Linked DNA regions of Drosophila melanogaster. The protein of the gene in region 1 purifies or fractionates together with the protein of each later gene. This does not show direct contact. Each region holds a gene or a part of one and is shown in the gene's direction. Other genes may lie near its edges.

Region 1 (6,786 bases):
CGGCGGAGCCTTCCAATTTGCCGAAAATTCTGTACTCCGGGTCCATGCTTGTGGAATCTGCAATCGCTGCGTGGACAGTGGAAGCAGTTGACCAACTGGTGATCCGGAACAGGTAACTTGTGGGTGCATACAATGTGGTTGTGGTAGCGGACAAGACTCTTGTACACCTTGCCACACCACTCGCAACAGAAGCCAAGCTCATCCACAAGGTCACCCACGGCAACGACGGTGCACCTCCTGTTCTCCATTTCCACGCTCTCCTATTTCCATAGTAAAACTTATCTGATATGGCGCCGAGCTATCGACAGTGTTGGGTAAATTTGTGCAAGGCCCTTATGGTAAATTGAAATATCTTAGGTATAGCCATTTGATTGGTAATGCCTCAATATTCTAAATTTTAGAGTGCATAATTGATCAATTTTTTAATTAAGCTATTCCTAATGACGTAGGACCAAATACATTAGAATAAAAAGATGCGTGACGGCCATACATTGACCATACAAACGAGAAATTGTATATGTGTGCGTACTTGTGCTAGAAGACGATTTTCGGCCCGAAATAAATTTTCATTCAAGAAAATTTACATACATATTCTACATATTTGGAGTTTTTGGCAATTTTTTTGCAAAATTTCAACAGGGCACTGTGAGCAATACTTTTTAAAGCATTAACATTAATTTCATCAATATTTCAACTTATAAATAAAGTTGCTATCTAGAACTATAATTATTAGTTTTGTAATTTAAAACATAAATTTAACAAAATGAGAAAATACATATTTAAAAATATATTTTGTAAAAATAATACAAACATACATAGTTAAAAGTTAATATTTATAAAATAAATAAAAATATGCGACCTTTCTATTGTAAAATGTGCACAGATGCACTTGTCGGTTGTCACTGGATGCGTAAAAACAGCTGATGGCTGTAGAGTTCTCCGCCCTCTTGCTCCTAAACAAAAATTAAGAGCAGAATACTTTATATCCACCTTCTACTTCCTGAATTCTAGACATTTCTTACTGAGAGACAGGCGGCCCAAGAGATCTTAATCTTAATTGCTTGTACCTTTTGAAAGAATCTAGTATAACTTTTACTGGACGAATTCTAGACTATTAAAAATGTGATGATATATCAACACATTTATTAAAAGTGCGATCGTGACAGTTTTATGCGGCTTGTGAGCGCTAGAGTGGGCTTGGCAAAATGGGTTAACAAACTTGCGCTGCATCTTTGTCTCTAAAATCTGTATGCTTAATCTTAACCTTCTACCTTTAATAGTTCCTGAGATCTCGGCGTTCATACGGACAGAAGGACACAGCCAGATCGACTCGGCTATTGATGCTGATCATGAATATATACATATAGTGACGTATTCGGGTGGTCCAAACCGGCCACTTCAATTAAAACAGTATTGCACTTAATTGATTTTCCATAATGTATCCCAGCTGCGCAGCATCCGTTTCTAATAAAGAATTCTTTGGCAGCGGCACTCAGCCGTTCTTGTAAACATCCTAAAACCTGACATAAGCCGATTTGACTGCTCTCTTTGAACCTTCTCCTTATCTTAAGAACCCAAGAGCGAGGCTCTCCCGAGATACAAATATTGTTCAAATAATGAGGGTTCTCTCAATTCAATTTGCATTTGATTTTTACTCTTAAAAAAACTAAAACGTTAAAACTATTTCTCCGATCATTTTTTATTTCTTAGCGTTGTCCTTAGTCAACTGACGGGGCATTTATTCGACTCAAATAAAAAATATAACAACTAATTTTACTATATATATGTATATATTTTACTGTATATCGGAAACGCTTCCTTCTGTCTTTTACATATGTACATTTCAACGAATCTAGTATACCCTTTTACTCTACGGTTAACGGGTATAATAAGTTCTTTCTAAATGATTATGCTTATCATTTTAACAACAACATTTTAACCAAAAACGGTGTGATGACCAAACCATTTTCATATTCAGCATGAATTTACCGATTCAGACAAATCGTTCATACATACAAACAATATTATTACTTTACCATTAAACAAACCATTTCCAAGAAAGAATTTTTCATAGACCTAAAGCACATCGACTTTGTGGGTGGATATACATACATATGTACAATTTTTCGACTCAACTGTTTACACTGTAGTTTTACGAAAGAGAATTTCGATTTAAAAAATTTTTAGTTTTCGATGGTCGACCATTTGATTTATAAATAAGCAGTATTATCTTTAATTAGGCTGCTTTTAACTGCAAGTGCAGTTTATTCATACGATTACAAAGCATGACGATAGATGATTATGCTATTAGGTTTGATTAAACCATTTTTATGAAATATAAATTATTATATTATAAATATAAATTAATTATAAATTTACAAACTCTTATTCCATTCCAGAATCGATAGTTCTGGAATGATACTAGTGCTCAGCAACGCCAAAACAGTCAATAATAGATATTTGAAGTGTCAGCGGAATCGACGTCTGACAAAACAACTGCTTCACTTCATTAGAATTGTGTGATATATTCCACAGACCAGATCATTGGAAGAGAAGTCAATCGTGCGTGAGAGAAGCCAGAAGAGAAGCCACCCGCGACATTCCGAAGTAACCATTTCTGTAGGGTCAGACGTACATACAAACAACATTCATATAAATTGCTCGTGCTGTTCATTGGTTACCGCCTTTAGTCGCTACCTCGCTCGCACACGCGCTCAACACCTACCCTTACCCGTCAAAAATACCGACCTTCTTCTTGCCACGCCCGTAAAGATGGCTCCTAAGAAGCATAGTGGGTTTATGATGTTCGTAAACGAGTGGAGAAACCGGAACGCCGAGGGCCGACGCATGACGCTGGCGCAGGCTGTTTCCCACTGCGGCACCATATGGGAGGTAAGTTTTGGTCGATGCTGCGGATCTACCCTGTAATAAATGAAGCCTTTTCAGAAAATGAACACCCAGCAGCGTGGTCCGTACAACTCAGGCGGCAAGGACGCAAATGTGGCGCAACGCGCCAAAAGGGAAAGTTCCAACGGCCACGGCCAGGTGGACAAGGCCCAAAGGGAGGCCACCGAGAGCTTGATGGACATGAAACGTACCATCGAGCGCCTCGTGCTAAACGCCAAGATGTCCCATGGTAAGTCACACATTTCGAAGACATTTGGATTCGACTAACTCCAATCGCTGCCGCAGATCTGGAGAATGCCAAGTTTGTCTTCGTTGCCTTCAACTACTTCACTAAAGCCTTGACCACCGACGTCTATGTGCCCGCCGAGTTTGCGGCATGCGAATATTCGTTGAAGGAGGGAATCCGATCCATCTACAGCACCATGATTGACCCCGGTCAGATCATTTTTGGGCAAGGTAGCGATGCCCTGCTTCACTCTTCAACCACTCACGACCTGCCGCTGCCGCCCAACGCGCTGGGGGAGAAGAACATGACCAAGCTGTACCGCAACATTGTTGACTACTTATCCAAATGCCAGGGAAAAGGCAAGACCCTAGTAGTCTTTACACCCGCCGAAAATATTACCATGGTGAAGTCATGCTTCCGCTATTTGGAGTGCGATGATGACTTCAGGGACGGGGGCGAAAAAATCCAGGTGTTTGATATCCAGTACTTGCTATTCATATTGAAGAAGGAGGTCATGAATGTCGCTGATTTGAATGACGAGAAAATCAACAAATTCGCGACGGATGCTTTTTTTAAGAAAGACTTTTTCGAGTTTACCGCAGGGATTGCGTGTCAGGTAAGATTCTGTTCCCAATTCTGATAACCCCTAGTTGACTTCCTTCCTGATTACTTTTGCAGTACCACGAGGATAATGATCGAACCAAGTACTGTACCCAGAGTATGGTGACTAGATGGGCGTATACCTTCACTGATTTTATGTGCGGAGACCTGGCCATAACCGTCCAACCCGGAAAGCACATACCTGCCCAAACAAAACCCAACTACCTTATCATAAGCTCGTACGCCTCCTCACTCGACCACGAGTCCTCCTTCGACTCTTTTTATTCGCTTCCCGGATCTGGGGTCAAGAAGGAAAGCCAACCCGAAGCTTGTTCGCTTTCTAGCAGTCGACTTTCCGTCGCATCAAGCTCCTACAAGCCCATAGACCACACTTCCTTTGCCGCAAATTTAAACGAAGTTTCTGAATTCCCCAGCCTCGGCATGCGTAATTCTAGTAAGCATCACGGTATCGCCGCTAGTGCTCAGCGGGAATGGAACGCTAGGAACTTACCGACGCACTCGCGTTTAATTCGGAAGGTTTCAGACAACGACTTCTCCGTAAACGGCGCTGATGGGAAACTTAAAAAATAAGCCACTTTGGTCTATCAATTGGACTAAGAAACAATGATTCCTTATAGATAATTTTCTTATCGCATTAAACTGTACAAATACTATTACTTGTATTTAAAAATAAATTCGTTCAAACGGACAGGGCCAGCATCAAGTATTTATTTATTTTAGTTCTGCTAAATAAATATTTTTAAGACCTAATATGTGGGCAGTAATGAAAGAAAGACATGATATTTTTGATGGCGACAAATTCTAATTAGCTAAGTGGGGCCAAGCTCAAAATAATCTATGTTTATGGTATTCCATGGAAATGCAGTTGTGCCATTAGAAACTGCTCCTATTAAAACCCCTGTTAAATATTGTGCATAAAATTGTTCAACGGGTCATTATAATACAAAGTGCAAAGGCCAAAAAGAGTCGAGTTCATATTCTTACACTTGTAGCTTTTTAAGTGGCTCGACTTGGAGAGGAGTTTTTAGAGTTGCGAGATACAGATGCAATGCTTTGCGGATCTTGCTGAAGCACGAGACGAGTAAAGGCTAAGCTGAGGAGAAGTGCCTGGCCTAGAAGCTCGCGCTGGTAGCGCTCTTGTTGTGAGAATTCGAGGCGTAGGTCAGCGGGAAAGTCGATCTGTTTGTGCAGCTTCAACGGGGGCTCTGTTTCGGGGATCTGATGTTCCACGTTGTAATGGGTTCGCATCATGGCCAATATCGTATCCTCGGACGACACGCGCTCAGTACCCACCATGTGATTAAATAGTCGGGCTGAGAGAAAACGTCGCATGTAGTAGACGTTGTTCGTCTTGTTCTCGTCGCCATCTGATCGGGCCATCAAGGAGAAGCTCATGATTGCGGAAACCTGGGCCTTCTGGATGTTCACGTTCTGTTGATCGATGCTCCCTGGGTTGCTGCTGGCCTGGGCCATTTGTGGACTCTCCATGACGTAGCAATCGGCCACGGGTATCTGGTGAGATACATAGAGGCATCGGCGGGAAAGTTCTGACAAATGCAGCTTCTTGTCGTTCAGCTCATGGTGCTGCCAGTGCGTGAGCAGACAGGGAGCTTCGTTGCTTCCGATCTTTAATCGCGCCCAGCTTACACTGGTCACTCCGATGCGCACCCCTACAGCAGATACAATACGTGAACGCTGTCCCTCGTCCATGGCCGGTGTTATAAAGGGCGCGACTCGTGCAGTCTTTGGTCTATTTTCCCCTACTTGTGCGCTCCCACTGCTCGGCGGCGCAAGCAGACTCTTAAAGAACTTGGTGGTCACCTTCAGTCCGAATCCCTCCACATACAGGATGTCGCTGAGTTCCTGCAGCGGTCCGTGACGGTTCTTCCAGTTTTGCAGCTTGGTTGCCCTTGCCTTGGTTATGTCGTAGCTGGGCGGGATAATCAGTATTTGTGCAAGGCAAAGTGCAGGAGTGGCTACCTACTTGGCTATCTGATTCATGCTGCTTTCATTAATCGTCTTCAAGATCTTCAAACGATCTGCATCCGAGTAGGCGGGCAAGAGGCCGATGGCTTGGTCACATTCCGGCTGACCCGATCTGTGTTGCTGCGTGGACGAAAGTCTTAGGCATTTTGTCGTTACGCCCAACAATGATCGCCGGCACAACATATTTTCCAGTATATGATTTATATTTGTTGTTACTTAATTTGATATCGTCTATACAGCTGTTCGGTTAGTGGGACCAAGCTCATTTTTTCAGTTTTTCTAATTAATCGATATACAATGCTACACCATCGACGGCTACAAACAATTTATAGCAACTAATTGTTAAGTGAAAAAGATGAGAGAAAAGGCATGTATTTCACACAGCAATCATTATACATTTTAGGTAAAACTACAAAGGAAATAATTTATAAATATAATATAAATCACATTATTAATTAATTTTTAAAGAAGAAGAAACTGGAGCAGTCCGTATAGTATGGCTAAAGAAAAATGCTAAAATCGCAGCACTGCACGCTCTCTGTCCTCTCACATTCTCTTTCACTCTCGCTGCGGGAACTCGAAGTTCCAGTCGGAACGTCAACGTCGAGTGGGCAGTCGTACGTCGATTGTTGAGCGGCTGTGGCACATATATAAACAATAAATACAATTCGTAATTTTAATTGAATTAAGACAATAACAACAACGGTTTCTGGGACTCGGTTGCCTTGCCATATGTGACACAAAGCACACACATGCGACCGTAAACTCAGAACTCTGTATTTGCGCGAATGTGGGTGCATAAAAGTGAAATTTCACAGCGACAAGTGGAAAAGAAAACGGAGAAAGGCAGAGCTGTGGCCAAAAGAAAATCCTGGTCATGTCATGCAACAATAACAACAACTATAAAAACAAAACCACGTACGGCTATTCGAACAACAATGATACCAACTGCATCATGCAGAAGCCAGTGCCCGCCTCCACCGCACCCGCCTTCCCTCAGCTGATCCAGGCCAGCTGTTCCAACGCCGTGGAGGTGGATCCACCAG
Region 2 (7,370 bases), on another chromosome or scaffold:
AATGTTTTTAAGGGTTTGATGGGGGATGAAGGGCAGCTCACCAGTGACCAGCTCATAGGCAATTACTCCGAAGGACCATAAATCCACGGTCGAGTTGTAAAAACCATTTTCCACCACTTCTGGGGCATAGTAATGTCGGGTGCCCACCACGCTCTGCACCATGGTCTGGTCGGGAGTTCCTCGGGCGAGTCCAAAATCGGTTAGCTTATAGATTTTTTTGCCATCAACTCCACGTTGGATTACTATATTGTCCGGCTTCAAATCGCGGTGGCAAATCCCACACTGCGAGTGCAGAAAATGTAGGGCCTTACGTAGGGCTCCCAGTATCTGCCGCACCTCGAACTCCGTCAGACCATTAGCATTCTCCGGGCTCTGCAGACGCTTCCTCACGTCTCCACCGTTACAGTATTCCAGCACAATAACAGGCAACTTGGCACTAAACATGCCATTCAGGTACTCCAAAAAGTCCGGATCCTCGATGTCCACGCCAGCCACAATATGGGGAAAGTTTTTAAACTGACGAGACCAGTTCAGCTCCTTGTTCCAACGCTCGCTGAGCTTGACTTGCTGATCGGCACTCAGGGCCCCCATCTCCTTTATGTGCTTGGTGGCTATGTGGAAAATAAATAAACACTTAAGACTGACGCTTAAAATATCTGCCATATCGGCTAACTCAGCCGAAAGGCTATAAGCGACATATCTAATGCGGAGACCACACCAAACGCGCAAAACTCGAGCCCTCTATCACTATCAGTGGACCACCCGGAAACGCATGCCTCAGCTCGGTTTCTGGGAATTGTTGGACAACAAACATGTTCATATGTATATGTATGTTGTTTTTATGGTTTTATTATTTGGATATATACAAAATACAACAAAAAATTTATTTATTTATGAGTAAGGCTGGAAAGGGGGAGGGTGTTTGGGGGCTGGTAATGTGTGTTTGCGAAAAAGAAAATCCTTAAAATATTTATATGTATATGTATATTAGTGTTAGCCCATAAGGTGTTTATAGCTCACCAATTTCACGGCCCGTTGTTCGGTTTCGCCAATGGATCACTAGGCCGAATCCGCCCTCTCCCAGATTCCGGCACCGCTCCCAGTTCCCAAAAGAGTGCATCTTGTTGTTTTCGTTAAGCTTTATTTTATTTACGGAGCTCATTCTTCCAAGAATCTGAATCCCTCCATGGCAATCGGAAAAGCAAAACACCACAGTGATCATACAAGATTTGCGATATTCGATTGCTTATACACTAGTCATCGTTCAGCAGCAATCGCGGTCACGAGAATTTTGTTTAGAGGAGCGCTCAGCTGCAGCCACTTTCAATTGGGATGCATACCTTTAAATAAACTGGACGAATTGGGATACCCAAAAACGTTTTTAATTGAAGCTTAGAAATGGTGGCTTAAAATGTCAACTGCTACTGAAGTCACCCTTCGGTCACTATTTGCTTCACTCGCCTCAATTTTTATCGATTAAGTTATCGCAACGAAGTGACATCGCTAATCAAACAGGTTGTAAACAAAACGCTGAAAAATAACTTTAGTTTAGTGAAAATAGTAATACTCCTGCATGCTTGAGCTAAGATGCGTTTCCACATGAAGAGCGGCAGCGAGGACAATGACATTGTGGCGGCCACAGCCACTGCCGAGCATATCCGCAAGTTTGTCTTCAGCGGATCACCCGCCGAGCGACTGGAGATCAAAATACCTGAGGTAATCCTTAGAACCAGGTGTTCGTGTAGTATCTAAAGTGTCCGCCTACAGCTGCTTCAGGGTGCCTACTCCTTCTACACATGGCCTTGCGCACCAATTTTAGCCCACTTCCTGTGGGAGCGCCGACAGACACTGGCGGGCAAGCGCATCCTGGAGCTGGGAAGCGGCACCGCCCTGCCCGGCATTCTGGCGGCCAAATGCCGCGCCCAAGTGGTACTTACTGACAACTGCATTCTGCCCAAGTCACTGGCCCATATCCGAAAGTCCTGCCTGGCCAATCAACTGCAGCCGGGCGTTGATATCGATGTGGTGGGCCTGAGTTGGGGCCTGCTGCTGAACAGCGTGTTCCGACTGCCGCCTCTGGACCTTATCATTGCAGCAGACTGCTTCTACGATCCCAGCGTGTTCGAGGATATCGTGGTCACAGTTGCTTTTCTGCTGGAGCGAAATGCCGGGGCCAAATTTATATTTACATACCAGGAGCGGAGCGCCGACTGGTCCATAGAGGCGCTGCTCAAGAAGTGGAAGCTGCAGGCTTTACCCATCAGCATGGAGGACATTGGCAAGGAGTCGGGAGTGGATCTGCTGGAGTTTATGGGCGGACACACTATTCATCTTCTGGAGATCACGCGCATCGAAAGCGATGGCTCAATAAATACAACATAACAATTATACAATTGGCTTTTTTTATGCTGAATGTCAAATCTCTCTTAGTTAATGTTCTACACGGGAATGCTCCCAAACATCAAATAAATATTTGCCTGTGGTAATCGCTTGAAATCAATGTTGGCCAAATATTTGGAAATATATGTTTAAAATTTAGCGCGTACCTATCAAAGTTTTCCACCCAGCACACTAATTCTAGGTTTTAGGGGATGCTAGAGTTGTGAGTAGCGGTCACACTGGCGCAACGACGCTGTTGGAAAACTGCGAAAATTATTATTTATTTACCTACCGCGAAACCAAGTAAATTCCGCTGCACAAAAGAGGCTCGAAGTGCTGGAAACGTAGTTAAGTTATTGTTCATTGTTGCTACATTACTTGGCATCCCGGAAAGACCCCGTCGGTGTGTCTTTGTCGAATAAGTGTGCGTGCTTCTGTGTTGTGCCGTGTGTAAGTGTTGGTACGTCGTCGCCTGCGAAAAATCGAAGTTATTGCATTGCGCAGCCCTTTCAAGCCGCTGTCCCTGGCCAGCTGTAAGTCCCGCAGCTCCTCGCCCAGTCCCCGCTCTACGGCGGTACTTGGATCACAATTCTGATGGTGAGTGTGCTAGTGCGTGTACCGGAATGCACTCGGATGCATCGCGATTTTGTTCCAGGGCGTCGCAATTTGTTTGTCGCTAAAATGGGCGATATGTGCTTCATCTGCGGCTCTCAAGTTGCAGCCACTGGAAATTGATAGCCGCTGCAACCATTGGCGGTTGGGTGGAACGGTAAACGACGGCATAATCCAGACACACAGCCCACAGGAGAAACATTTGTTGTTGCCTGCGGTATGATCCGTTAATTCGAACTTGAGAGCGTCGGTGTGCGTGAGAGCTTGAAAGAGCGAAATCAAGAGAGAGGAAGAAACAAAGCGCGGGCATATCCGAATTGAAAAATGCTCTACTCAAACGTGAGCACAGTAGGAGCGCATCAAAACAATATTAAAGAGACAGATGCATGAATAATAAATGGGAGTGATGGAAAATCCACGCCTGATTCAGTCGCAGGCTTTCGTGTGCGTGTGTCACCTTTTGTAGTGGTTGTGCGGGGGGTATTTGCCGTGCCCCTGATTAATTGACTGAAAAAATAACGCGCTATTCAGCGACATGATATCACCCATCCTGGGTGACAAGCCCACCAACCTTTTCCGAAAATCCAAATTTACACTCTCCTATTTCTGCTTCTGTTTGCCAAATAACTGCACTTAGAAAACGACAATCTAAATATGGCCGACCCATTTACTTTTTTCCGCCCCTCGAGCGAAACGGATGGATGATTCTGCTTCCTTGGCCATCGGTATTTCATAGACTATTAAGCTCAATTTTAAAACATCAGCTCGATGACTCCTGACATCCGGAATAGTTCTGCTTCATTGGAAGCTTGGCTAGTTTTTCTTTTAAGAAAAATTCGATTAAAGTAGCTTTTTTATACATATTTATCTTTTTGTTTCGCAGAATGCTGCTTGAGGCTGTTTGCGACTGAGACCATTGAGGAGAACCCGAGTAGCGTACGAAACACGACACAATGGCCGAGGACACAGAGTACAAGAAGTTGCCGGTGGAGGAGCGGTGTGTCCATAAACTATGGAAAGCCCGCGTCGATGGTTACGAGGAGGCCGCAAAGATCTTTCGCGAGCTGGATGACGAGAAGTCGCCGGAATGGTCTAAATTTGCAGGGCTCATAAAGAAGATGGTAGTGGACTCTAATGCTCTGGCCCAGGAAAAGGGTCTAGAAGCGGCCCTCATTTTTGTGGAGAACAGCGGGCTGGCGGGACGCACAGTAGGCGACGTGATGACAGGCATCGTTCAGAAGTGCATTGCGGCGCCAAAGACCAAAACCAAGGAGCTCTCCGTCCAAGTGGCTCTAATGTATGTGGAGATAGAGAAGCAGGAGGCCGTCGTCGAAGAGCTGGTTAAAGGTATGGAGGCCAAGAACCCTAAGATTGTGTCTGCCTGCGTGGCAGCCACCACACTGGCCCTCCGCGAGTTCGGACACAAGGTGATCGGCGTCAAGCCGTTAATTAAAAAGCTTGCTCCGCTAATGTCTGACCGAGACAAGACGGTCCGAGATGAGGGCAAGCAGCTGGCTGTTGAGATTTACCGTTGGATCGGAGCTGCAATGAAGGCACAGATCTCAACGCTACCACAGGTAACGCTAAAGGAGCTGGAGGATGAATTCGACAAACTCAAAGGTGAACGCGTTGAACCCTCCAGGTGTGTTCAAGGATTTCTCTCTATCATTGCCTAGCTAAACCGCTCTTACTTTTAGATATCTAAAGTCCCAGCAGGAAAAGCAAGCGAAGATCGCCGATGCTGCAGCGACCGAGGATGCATATAATGGTATGAAGCCCTCGATATTACAAAAGCAGTGAATTATTGATTTGATTTTGGTTTTCGTATGCAGAGGATGATGGCGAGGCTGGCGTTGAAGAAATCGATCCTATGGATCTTCTAGACCCCGTTGACATTCTCTCCAAAATGCCCAAGGACTTCTACGATAAGCTGGAGGAAAAGAAATGGACTCTGCGCAAAGAATCGTTGGAAGTCCTGGAGAAACTGCTCACTGACCACCCCAAGCTAGAGAATGGCGAGTATGGAGCGCTGGTAAGCGCTCTTAAAAAGGTTATAACCAAGGACTCCAACGTAGTCCTCGTTGCAATGGCCGGAAAATGTCTAGCCTTGCTAGCCAAAGGATTGGCAAAGCGATTCTCAAATTACGCATCCGTAAGTAACTCTCACCTTCTTCCAAATAACGTGTTTTCATATGTGTTCTTCTATTTCAGGCTTGTGTCCCATCCCTGTTGGAAAAATTTAAAGAGAAGAAACCTAATGTTGTGACAGCGCTGCGTGAAGCTATTGATGCCATATACGCCTCCACTTCTCTAGAGGCCCAGCAAGAGTCCATTGTAGAGTCCCTGTCCAACAAAAATCCAAGTGTTAAGTCCGAAACGGCCTTGTTTATTGCCCGTGCCCTAACCCGCACCCAACCAACCGCGCTAAACAAAAAGCTGCTTAAACTTCTGACCACCAGTCTAGTGAAAACGCTTAACGAACCAGATCCAACCGTACGCGACAGCAGCGCCGAAGCTCTTGGTACTTTAATAAAGCTAATGGGAGACAAAGCGGTGACTCCTTTGCTCGCCGACGTCGATCCACTCAAAATGGCCAAGATAAAGGAGTGCCAAGAAAAGGCGGAGATTAAAATAAAGGTTGCAGGTCCAAAGAAGGAGACACGACCTGCATCTGCACCGACTGCGAAAGCTGCTGCTCCGGCTAAGACAGTGGCTGGTAGTGTGGACCCTAAGCCAGTAACCCGACCGGCCACTACAGGGGCACGTAAGGTCTTGAAAAAACCGGCGACGGTTAGTGGAGGAGGAGCTACATCTGCCCCAACTGCAGCTCTTAAAGCGGGTGGAAAACCCCTAGCCACGGAACGCGAAATAACCCCCGAGGAATTGCAAGAAAAATCCGAAGAAATTCTGCCAGCCGAAATTCTTAATGGGCTGGTGGATTCCAACTGGAAGAACCGCCTTGCTGCTGTGGAACAGCTTCTGGGCGAAATAAGCGGTTTTGATGCAAAACAGGCTGGCATATCACAGATCCTGATCCGAACAATCAGTGGACGAAAGCCAGGCCTCAAAGAAATGAATTTCCAGGTACTCAAGTTTAAGCTAGACATAATCCGCAGTGTGGCTGAAAACTATCCACTGACCACGACAACCGTTGATCTGGTGATTAACGAAATAATCGAGAAGCTAGCAGACGCCAAGAATGGTGCAGCAGCTGCAGATGTTTTGTCTGCCTTTGCCGAAGCCACTAAACTGGAGTATGTTGTGGGCAAAGTATTGAGCTTTGCTTTTGAACAAAAATCGCCTAAAGTGCAATCAGAGGCCTTTAACTGGGTTAACAGGTCAATCATAGAATTCGGCTTCCAATTGCAGCCAAAGACACTTATTGAAGATGTACGAAAAGGCGTGCAGAGCACGAATCCAACGGTTCGTGCTTCCGCCATTCAAATGGTAGGCACCATGTCTATGTATATGGGCAAAGCTCTAATGATGTTCTTCGACAGCGAGAAGCCTGCACTAAAGTCCCAGATCCAGGTAGAGTTTGACAAGAATGTGGGCGAAAAACCACCCAAGCCTGTTAGAGGAGTTCAACGTAGCAGCGGTGGAACCGCTGGTAATTCCCCAGACAATGAGGACGATGATGGTGGGGCAGCCGGAGAAGAGGAGCCCATTAATATGGCTGATCTTCTACCACGCGTTGATATTGCTCCACAGATTACGGAGGCATTGCTGAAGGAGATGTCCGACAAGGACTGGAAAACTCGCAACGAGGGTCTGACTAAGCTGCAGGCTATTATTTCAGAGGCGCGGCTAATCAAACCCAGCATTGGCGACTTGGCTCCTGCTCTGGCCCACCGTCTGGTAGATTCCAATGCTAAGATTGCCCAAACGACACTTGCCATTTGCGAGCAGCTTGCCACAGCCATGGGGGCTGGTTGTCGAAATCACGTGCGGAACTTGTTCCCTGGCTTTTTACACGCTCTGGGTGATAACAAGAGTTTTGTAAGAGCCGCTGCCCTCAATTGCATCAATAGTTTTGGCGAAAAGGGCGGCTATAAGGAATTTTTTGAGAGCGAAATGATAGCCGATGCCCTGAAAGGAGGATCCCCAGCTCTAAAGACAGAATTGTGGGCTTGGCTGGCAGATAAGCTGCCTGGTCTTCCCCCCAAGTCAGTATCGAAGGAGGATATCCATTCAATGGTGCCGCACTTATATGCTCACATCTGCGATCGAAACGCCGATGTCCGGAAAAATGCCAACGAGGCGGTGTTGGGCATTATGATTCACCTTGGATTTGATGCAATGAACCGCGCTCTGGACAAACAGAAGCCCGCGTCCAAAAAGGATATACTTGCAGCACTCGAAAAAGCGCGTCCTAATCT

The links. The genes of interacting proteins can lie anywhere in the genome.
Region 2: the proteins of mael (region 1) and msps purify together in Drosophila melanogaster (affinity purification with western blotting; one study listed by BioGRID). This does not show direct contact.

The regions. Positions count from the first base shown.
Region 1 is NT_037436.4:22,721,794-22,728,579, forward strand, and holds mael (maelstrom), read left to right. Parts: upstream 1-2,439; 5' UTR 2,440-2,772; coding exon 2,773-2,892; intron 2,893-2,937; coding exon 2,938-3,136; intron 3,137-3,192; coding exon 3,193-3,749; intron 3,750-3,811; coding exon 3,812-4,324; 3' UTR 4,325-4,441; downstream 4,442-6,786. Other genes in the region: CG14451 (uncharacterized protein), read right to left, coding at 1-248; CG14450 (uncharacterized protein), read right to left, coding at 4,751-5,684, 5,739-5,923; CG11367 (uncharacterized protein), read left to right, coding at 6,618-6,786. UniProt on the Drosophila melanogaster protein: Involved both in the piRNA and miRNA metabolic processes. As a component of the meiotic nuage, plays a central role during oogenesis by repressing transposable elements and preventing their mobilization, which is essential for the germline integrity.
Region 2 is NT_033777.3:16,048,201-16,055,570, forward strand, and holds the start of msps (mini spindles), read left to right. Parts: upstream 1-2,600; 5' UTR 2,601-2,976; intron 2,977-3,677; exon of another isoform or gene 3,678-3,716; intron 3,717-3,874; 5' UTR 3,875-3,944; coding exon 3,945-4,633; intron 4,634-4,688; coding exon 4,689-4,759; intron 4,760-4,823; coding exon 4,824-5,143; intron 5,144-5,202; coding exon 5,203-7,370. Other genes in the region: IKKbeta (I-kappaB kinase beta), read right to left, coding at 1-611, 1,021-1,120; CG5013 (uncharacterized protein), read left to right, coding at 1,588-1,716, 1,768-2,382. UniProt on the Drosophila melanogaster protein: Binds to the plus end of microtubules and regulates microtubule dynamics and microtubule organization. Function in neurons is essential for adult survival, and is important for climbing behavior and activity.